Xenopus tropicalis: one gene and its partner. The protein of the gene in region 1 purifies or fractionates together with the protein of each later gene. This does not show direct contact. Links are inferred from orthologs where the notes say so. Each region holds a gene or a part of one and is shown on either strand. Other genes may lie near its edges.

What was found. Proteins that work in one complex are often made in the same cells at the same time.
Region 2: the proteins of lig3 (region 1) and aptx purify together in Homo sapiens (affinity purification with mass spectrometry; 3 studies listed by BioGRID and IntAct, with this or other methods). This does not show direct contact. The link is inferred for Xenopus tropicalis from reciprocal best matches to the Homo sapiens genes LIG3 and APTX.

Annotation. Positions count from the first base shown.
Region 1 is NC_030686.2:27,248,763-27,253,225, reverse strand, and holds part of lig3 (DNA ligase 3), read left to right. Parts: coding exon 1-61; intron 62-413; coding exon 414-569; intron 570-668; coding exon 669-800; intron 801-1,000; coding exon 1,001-1,080; intron 1,081-1,162; coding exon 1,163-1,250; intron 1,251-1,393; coding exon 1,394-1,471; intron 1,472-1,552; coding exon 1,553-1,676; intron 1,677-1,807; coding exon 1,808-1,950; intron 1,951-3,100; coding exon 3,101-3,175; intron 3,176-3,763; coding exon 3,764-3,910; intron 3,911-4,194; coding exon 4,195-4,387; intron 4,388-4,463. UniProt on the Homo sapiens protein: Isoform 3 functions as a heterodimer with DNA-repair protein XRCC1 in the nucleus and can correct defective DNA strand-break repair and sister chromatid exchange following treatment with ionizing radiation and alkylating agents.
Region 2 is NC_030677.2:94,452,969-94,457,971, reverse strand, and holds the start of aptx (aprataxin), read right to left. Parts: upstream 3,083-5,003; 5' UTR 3,008-3,082; intron 2,999-3,007; exon of another isoform or gene 2,807-2,998; intron 1-2,806. UniProt on the Homo sapiens protein: DNA-binding protein involved in single-strand DNA break repair, double-strand DNA break repair and base excision repair.

The DNA.
Region 1 (4,463 bases):
AGGAATGAAACGAACTCTTAGTGTCCAGGCTTCATTAATGACCCCAGTTCAGCCTATGCTGGTAAATAGACTTAAGATTATCTTTTACATGTGTTATGTGTGTATAATTAAGACAGATTCCTCCAGTGTTTTAACACAAACAGTCGCACAGTCTTCACATATTATAAAATAACATTCCACCTTCATGTAAGTGCAAATGTTAATTTGGAAAAAAAAAAAAACACTTACCAGGTCACAATTTTAGAATGGATGCAAGAAGAGTTACCCTGTGTGAAGGGAAATTGGATCCCTCTGTATATACATATGCAGTTGGGTTGCTACTTTGTCTGATTTGTGTTTTGTAGTATAGTATTTTTCCCCCTACATTGATACATACTTTAATTCACATTCTGGTAATCTCTCCTCACCCCCAGGCTGAAGCTTGCAAATCTATAGAGTATGCCATGAAAAAGTGTCCCAATGGTATGTATGCTGAAATAAAGTATGATGGTGAAAGAGTCCAAGTACATAAGAATGGAGATCACTTCAGCTACTTCAGCCGCAGTCTGAAGCCAGTGCTGCCCCATAAGGTCATTTTTTTTATAATGTACTATTTGTATCATTTGTGTTTAGCAACCTTATTTGTTGTGTTTAGATACATGGTTACAACTTTTTTTTTTTTTTTACAGGTTGCTCATTTTAAGGATTTTATACCTAAAGCATTTCCAGGAGGAAACAGTATGATCCTGGATGCAGAAGTTCTTCTTATAGATACCAATACTGGCAAGCCACTTCCATTTGGCACATTAGGTGTTCATAAGGTATATATGATTTTTAATGTCTAATGTCTTTAAGGAACCAGTTGATCTAGACTAGAGTATAAACACTTCAGATTTTTTGCACTGGGTTCTGATTATAACCTGGCATTTCTAAGGCTTTGCAGCTGCAGGAATATAGATACATTTTCTTTGTGTTCCTATTTTACCTGGAATAATATATTTTAATTTAATTTCCTTCACAGAAAGCTGCTTTCAAAGATGCCAATGTGTGCTTGTTTGTTTTCGATTGCATTTACTTCAATGGAGTGAGCTTAATGGATCGGTGAGCATATTCAGATCAAGACTGTATTTTATAAAATGAAAGATGTTTCTTTGAGCTGCTTACCAATAACCACTTTTTGCAGGCCACTTAGTGAGCGCCGAAAGTTTATGCGGGATAACATGGTTGAAATCCCTAATCACATTCTGTTCTCTGAGATGAAACATGTCACAGTAAGTACTGTCACAGGCATAAAACCTTGCTCAAATCCTTGATCAAACTGTAATTCATTCCTGGTTGTACCTGCAACCTATTCCACATCTGCTCGTCCTTTAGTATTTTTTGTTATTGTAACTAAAACCTGTTTATATTGCAGAAAGCTTCTGATCTGGCTGACATGATCACCCGTGTTATCCGTGAGGGATTGGAGGGTCTGGTATTAAAGGACTTAAAGGTAATTTAAGTTAGATAAAGAGCATCTTCCTAATTGCATCTATATGAGATTCCGCAGTCAATTTTTTCTTGTTCACACCAGAGTAATTATGAGCCAGGGAAACGTCATTGGCTTAAAGTAAAGAAGGATTACTTGAATGAAGGTGCAATGGCAGACACCGCTGACTTGGCAGTTTTGGGAGCTTATTATGGAAAGGGAGCAAATGGTAAATGTAGCTGCCCTTATTTTTTCAAAAGTAAATTTTATCTATTATAAATAACTTTTTGGCTATATTCAGCACAGTACTTTAAGGAGAAATAATTCAAGGTTTTTATTTAATTATTAAACATTTTATAGGGGGTATAATGTCCATCTTTCTCATGGGTTGCTATGATCCTGAAAGTCAGAAGTGGTGCACTGTGACAAAATGTTCAAGTGGTTATGATGATGCTACTCTGCAACGCCTTCAGAAGGAGCTTAACATGGTCAAAATCAGCAAGGTTAGTCTTGTCTTGTGGATGATTGCATTGCGAGTCTGATTTAATTTTCCCTGCTTCGGGTTTTTTTTTTCCTTCTTAAGCCTTATACTCTGTAATGAAAAGGTGGGAATAAAAGGGCATTGATGACTGTGTTGTATGGCACCATTATGACCCTGAAAATAAATCAGGACTGTATGGTATAAGCTTTATTCATTGTGTATGGGTAATAAGCACACTTTTTTTCTGCCTGCAGTTAGATGGTGCCTCTATACAAGGCACATTATCTACACTAGGTGCTACTACAACCCCCAATTTTATTGAATGGCCTAAGTTATATATTTTTTTTTTAGTTTGCCATTTACTCTCTTATACTCTCAGTATGCAGTATATTATTATTATTATATATATTATACTGTCCTGTTTTGGAGCCCTTGCTTCCTGTTGATAATATCTGGGATAGAACTAGATCTGTGATAAACATTGCAACCAATGACTTCTAATTCAAACTATTGATAAAATGGTATATGACCCGTCAAAGAAAACAAAAAATAGACTTAACTTCCTCTCTCTGTTGTAGTATATGCTCATATACTGACTCTTTGATACATAACTGGTGGTTTTGTCCCATAGCTAAAGAATTCTGGATAAAAATTATTAATCTTTTAAAACGGATCTTAATTTACAATACAATATTTCAAATTCACCTCTTCATCAAATTTTTAAATTAGCCATTAAAGGCTTAAACAAGGCAGGTAATATTCTCTAAAGACATGTTTTTTTCTGTGACCAAATGGACTTTTGGCCTCACTTTGGCTTAGGGATAGCCTTGAGTTTAAGCTTGGTTTAACCAAAATCCAAAAGATTCACTATGTAAAAGATGACTGGATCTGTAGAGGACACTATAGCTACATTTATGGATTCTATATTCTGAGCGCTTATGGTAATTCAGCATTTTTGTTGTTGTTGCCCCATAAAGGATTCTTTTAGTTTCTTCTTTTCCCTAATATGTTTTTAATGTGATGCACTATGCATATGGAAATATGAAAAATGTATTTAGTATTTTTCATTTATCTTTATATCTATATTTTTAAAAGCATAACTTATGTGGAAAACGTATATACAATGTAAAACCATGTACATGATGTGATGCCTTCCTTTCTTTTGTTAACAGGATCCATCTAAGATTCCATCATGGCTTAAAATCAACAAGAACTATTTCCCAGATTTCATTATACATGATCCCAAGGTAGTATTTGCAAGGGGTAAAATAATTAAACAGCTTTGTAGCTGAATATTCTGTTGCAATTTTAAATTTCACCTTTAAGTTATCTTTTACTGTGTTGTACTTTTGAAACTTTTTAATTAGCCTTCATTTTTTTTATTGTTTTTGAATGATTTTCTGCCTGCTGCCTCTTTCCAGCTTTTCAGTGTCTGTTCAATGAAAGTTAATTTAAAGGTGAACTACTGCCTAAATGGTTTTGTGGTAATTGTGACAATGTCAGTTTGGTAGCTCGGTGAGCCATTAAATGTATTCACTCACTATGCTTAAACATTCTGTGGAGATGAGATGGCAAGTAGGTGTCCTAATATTTGACCAGTCTGCCCACTGCAGAGTCCTATCTAATTATATCATGAATTAATTGTGTGCAGCAAACTAGCTCATATGCATCTTTTAGCCTTATGAATGTCTATTTTTAACCTGGAAAGCAAACTTATTGATACCTACTATGTATAGCAGCTGTAATTTTTCATAGGTTCTCCTGCAAATCAGCATTCTTTAATATATTCGTGCATGAGACAAGATACTAAACTCATTCCTGATTTTTCACCATAGAAAGCTCCCATTTGGGAAATTACAGGTGCAGAGTACTCAAAGGCAGAGGCTCATACAGCTGCTGGGTTATCCATTCGCTTCCCACGCTGCACACGTTTCCGTGATGATAAGGACTGGAAAACAGCCACTACACTCCAACAGCTAAAGGTACGAATGCGTGGCAACCTTTTTGCTATTCCAAAGCACTGAACGCCATCAGCTGGACACGACAATTCTGGTGCACAAAAGATTGCAATGCCCTCATTATTAGCAAACTGTAGTTATTAAAATAATATGTAATAATGGAGTTCTATAAATGTGCTTTACTTCACCCTGAGTTAGTTGGCTATGTTCACTGCTGACCCTGGTTTATGGCCTGGCATATATTAAAGTGCATTTGTATACAATGTGTCTTTTTTTTTTTTTTTTTTTTTTTTTTTTTTCAACTGCAGGAACTTTATCGTCTCTCAAAAGAAAAATCTGACTTTAACATCACTGCTACATCCTCTCAGGATGAGGATGGTTCATCTGAAAGCAGTAGTCGAGAGAATGAAGGAAACTCCAGGCAAACTGCATCAGGCAGCATGGTTAAGAAATCGAAAAATGCGCCTTCCAAATCTCCTGGAAAGGACAAAACCAGTGAAAGTAAGATGTCATGACAAATCTATGTTCTCCTGTCCTTGTCTGTGCAGCCATGTAAAAGGGCTGCCATTTTGACAAA
Region 2 (5,003 bases), on another chromosome or scaffold:
TAGTACAGGTATAGGACCCATTATCCAGAATGCTCGGGACCAAGGGTATTCCGCATAAGGGGTCTTTCCGTAATTTGGATCTCTGTGCCTTAAGTCTACTAAAAAAAATCAATAAAACATGAATTAAACCCAATAGGATTGTTTTGCATCCAGTAAGGATTAATTATATCTTAGTTGGAATCAATTACAAGGTTCTGTTTTATTTCTACATAGAAAAAGGAAATCAGTTTTAAAATTCTGAATTATTTGATTAAAATGGAGTCTATGGGAGACGGGCATTCCGTAATTCGGAGCTTTCTGGATAACGGGTTTCCGGATAAGGGGTCCGATACCTGTAGCAAGAGAACAAAACAGAGATCTTAAAGGCATGGTTCACCTTTAAAGAGATACTGACACCAGAAATTAAACCTTATTTACATCTACCGTAACACTGTCTTTGCATGCTATTTATAATTTTTCTTAAAGGCATTTATGCCATCCCACCGGCAATTTACATTTTCACCGACCGGAGGGATGGCATTTTGGGGAGATTAGTCGAGGGCGACTAGTCTCCCCGTGTGACACAGCCCTAAACCAGTATTGATTTCTGAGGTTACCATTTTATTGTTATTGTTTCTTTGTATTACTTATCTTTCTCTTCAGTCCCTCTCCAGTCTCACAAACCACTGCCTGGTTGCTAAGGTAAACAAGGCTCTAGCAACCAGACAGCTGCTGAAATTCCAAACTGGAGAGCCGAGGAACAAAAAATAACTGAAAAACCACAAAAAAAATAAAAACCAACTGCAAACTGTCTTAAAATATCATTGTCTATGTCATATTAAAAGAAAATTTAAAGGTAAACAACATCTTTAAATTTGACTCAAAATTCCCTGAATTTCTTGCTTAATTGTTTTAGCAGAAATAAAGAATTGTGTACAGGGGATGGTTGTAAATCGTACATTCTCTGAATGAAGTAGGGTTCTCCACAGGGTTCTGTATTGGGTCCTTTTTTATTTATTCATTAATAACTTGGGGTGGGTATTGAAAGAAATTTATCAGTGTTTGCAAATGACTAGGGATGCACTGAATCCTGGATTCCGTTCAGGATTCTGGCCGAATATAGCCTTTTTTTTTTTTTTTGAAGGATTCAGTTTTGGCAGAATCCACAGTCCCGGCCGAACCGAATTAGCATAAATTCATATATGCTAATTAGCATTCGGAAGGGTTAAATGGTAGGGGGAAGATTTTGAGCTATATTAAAAAGGGGTATAGATTTGCATGATACTCTCCCTCTTTTTAAAGGGGACCTGTCACCCTAAGAAATAATTACAAATTGTTTTCTATTGTGTTTGTCAAGCAAAATAAACTTCAATTACACTATATACATTTTTTGAAACCTATTTCCTTCAGCCTTGGAATTCACCATTGCAGAAAACAGGCAAGCTCCATTTTGTGGACACTGTTATTAAAGCAAGCTGTGCATCCTGCCAAAATCTTGTTTCTGTGCCAGTATGGGGGGACCCGATACCCATGTACATGCACTGGTTACAAAATTAGATGGTGAGGAGGGAGGGGGAATGTGAGGAGAGCAGCAACATCTAAGAAGTTCTGAATTGAAAGTGAAATTAACTGTCTGCCCCACCTCTATGCCTTAGGCATAGAGGCGGTCAGGAAATATTTAATTGACAGCTGGGACTTGCTTGTATAATGGGTATAGATGTGTTAATAAAAAAATGACTTTGGGTTACATGTTTAATTTGAAAGGGGCTTTTATTATACAGCTTTTTATGTCTGTGTGACATGTCCACTTTAAGGCACCAGTAGGGCCTTAAAGGAACAGTAACTCCAAAAAATGAAAGAGCTTTAAAGTAATAAAAATATAATGCACTGTTGCCCTGCATTGGTAAAAGTTGTGTGTTTGCTACAGTAACACTACTATAATTTATATAATAAGCTGCTGTGTAGCCACGGGGGCAGCCATTCAAGCTGGGAGAAAAAGCACAGGTTACATAGCAGATAACAGATAAGTTCTGTAGAGTACAATAGTGTTTTATCTGTTATCTGCTATGTGCCTGTGCCTTTTCTCCTTTGAATGGCTGCCTCCATAGCTGCATAGCAGCTTATTTATATAAATTATAGTAGACTTTCTGAAGTAAACACACAACTTTTACCAGTGCAGGGCAGCAGCACATTATATTTTAGTTACTTTTATACACTTTCATTTTTTGGTGTTACTGTTCCTTTAAATATGCAGCAGTTTTGGTCTCTAGAGCCTTATTGATAGAGTTCAAAGAAGAGGGAACAAGCTGATAAAGGGAATAGAAAGGCTGATGAAATGCTATGATAACCATGTATGAATGCACCTTACAATAAACTTTTTAAAGGGAGCAAGAACCACAGAACCATTGTTGACAACCAACATACAAGGCTGGCTGCTTGTACTCATGTCCTGCAAGCCCTATTAACCGTAAATTATGCCCACCAATTTCCACTTGGTTTTCTCCTTGTAGTCCTGCTCATATGATAAGCTTAAAGCATGGGTATTCGGCATGTAATAAATGTACTTGTTTGTAATGAAAAATTGCCTTTGACCCATGTTTTCTGATTACAATATTGGACCCTGGGCAACTTGGAATTGTCTATTGCAGTCACAAAGAAGCAGCATCCCTTCTGATGAGATGACAACTTCGCTCTTTAAACGGCATGGCTATATGTTGTAAAGTTATCACGTTTCTGTGAAGCCTTGCAGCTATTCGGTAGGGAAGCTGTCCCTTAAGACAATTCCAAAGACGCAAATTTGTATAAATATATGTATGTACAATCTTACCTAGCGTGGGTACACACGAAACATCAACAGCTATACACTACAAGGCGGAGCCTGCATATACTATGACCTACGGAATACAAGTGGACGCAAATCTCTGTCGGCCATTAATATGACAGACACGTATTTTAAAAGGCTGATAAAACACCACGTATGTGAGTGTAAAAAAAATCATTAGGCGTTTTTCGTGGTGTTTAACCATACCAATTCTTAGAATTCACGTGGTCGTCAATCAATTCAACTGATTTCAGTGCCACGTAGCGGTTGGAACGCAAGGCGTGCTGCAGTGAACCGCATCAGGCACGATTGGCAGCACGTTCCCGCCCTCACTAACGCGCAGTTGGATTGGAGCCTGAGTATTTGCCGGTTCCGGACTCTAGGCGTCATCGTGGTCTCACCACCCCCTTCTCTTTCCTTTTACATAAGATTCCCGGATGTGACTCTTGTTCCCTCGATCCTTCTAGAAGCTGTTAGACGGAGAAGACCGCTAGCCACCTTGAATATACAGTGCATTATCGTGGGTATGAAGGCATTAATACATTTATTTATTGTTGATTTTGTTGTTTTTTTTATCCCAGCTAAATGGAACACGTGCCGTGTTTTCTGTCTCAAACGTAGTCGTTGCTTTTATATGAGCGAGTTTTGGATGTAAGCGGTTATTGACTATATTTTTTGCAGGTTAGAATTGAACTCTAACGTTTTTCCCTAATGAATAGTACGCCTGGCTATGATTTTTTTAAATTCCTTTGGGTTATGATATCACATTTGTCGGTCCGAGGTTATGTGGGTTCGTCTTTGGTCGGCGAGGAGGTACTGAGCTAGGTGCCTGATGTTGGCTATTCTCTTGTCACGTGACTTGGCAGTGTTGGTCATTTGACTGGGGTCAGTGTTTCATTGCTCTTTTCTCCTGATTGAAGGCTCCCTGGGGCTCAGTTTTGGATCAATACCGGGTTTTAGTGTTTCTAGGCAATGAATGCCTGAAAAGTGACCCACCTCTAATTGTGTTGCTAAGAGAATTGCATAAGTGTATCCACACATGAAATACATCATAATGCATAGGTTTTAGCGGTACAAAACCCATGGCATCCTTCAGAAGTCTGACCACTTTGTGAGAATTAACTATTTCTATGCACGTTGTCCCAAAGTGTATTACCAGGATTTCTGTAGTTTAACAGTAGTGCTGGTGTCATATTTTGTTGGTTTATTTTTTTCTTTTATTTATGATTATGATTATTTAACTTATGATTATTTATGATGATCAATGCAATTCAACTTCCTACATGTTGCAGAGAGACTGTTACCTATTCCACATATTCATTATACAATTTACACATTTACTTAAAGGAACAGTAATGCCAAAAAATGTTAGCCTTTTAAAGTAATTAAAATGTACTGTTGCCTTGCACTGGTAAAACTGGCATGTTTGCTACAGATTTCCTACTATAGTTTATATAAATAAGCTGCTGTGTAGCCATGGGGGCAGCCATTCAGATTGGGGGGAAAAAGGCACAGGGTACTTAGCAGATAACAAATAATGCTCCATTATATTTTACAGAGCTTATCGGTTATCTGCTATGTAACCTGTGCCTTTTCTTCTTTGAATGGCTGCCCCCATGGCTACACAGCAGCTTTGTTTATATAAACTAGAGTAGCCTTTCATTTTTTGATGTTACTGTTACTTTAATGTAAAGCAGCTTGGCAGACACAGACAAGGGGTCATTAAAGGAACAGTAACACCAAAAAATGAAAGTGTATAAAAGTAATTACAATATAATGTACTGTTGCCCTGCATTGGTACAACTGGTGTGTTTGCCTCAGAAAGACTACTATAATTTATATAAGTAAGCTGCTGTGTAGCCATGGGGGCAGCCATTCAAAGGAGAAAAGGCACAGGTTACTTAGCAGATAACAGATAAACCCTCATTATATGGGGCTTATCAACTAGTTATCTGCTATGTAACCTGTGCCTTTTTTCCAGCTTGAATGGCTGCCCCCATGGCTACACAGCAGCTTATTTATAAAGTAGCTTTTCTGTAGCAAAAACACAATTTTTTTTTGCAGAGCAACAGCACATTATATTTTGATTACTTTAAAACATAATAATTTTTTGATGTTACTGTTCCTTTAAGATACCACAGATACAGAGTGCACTTCCAAATGCAATCACCATGTTTTCTACCCACTGGGAAGCTCCCCCCCC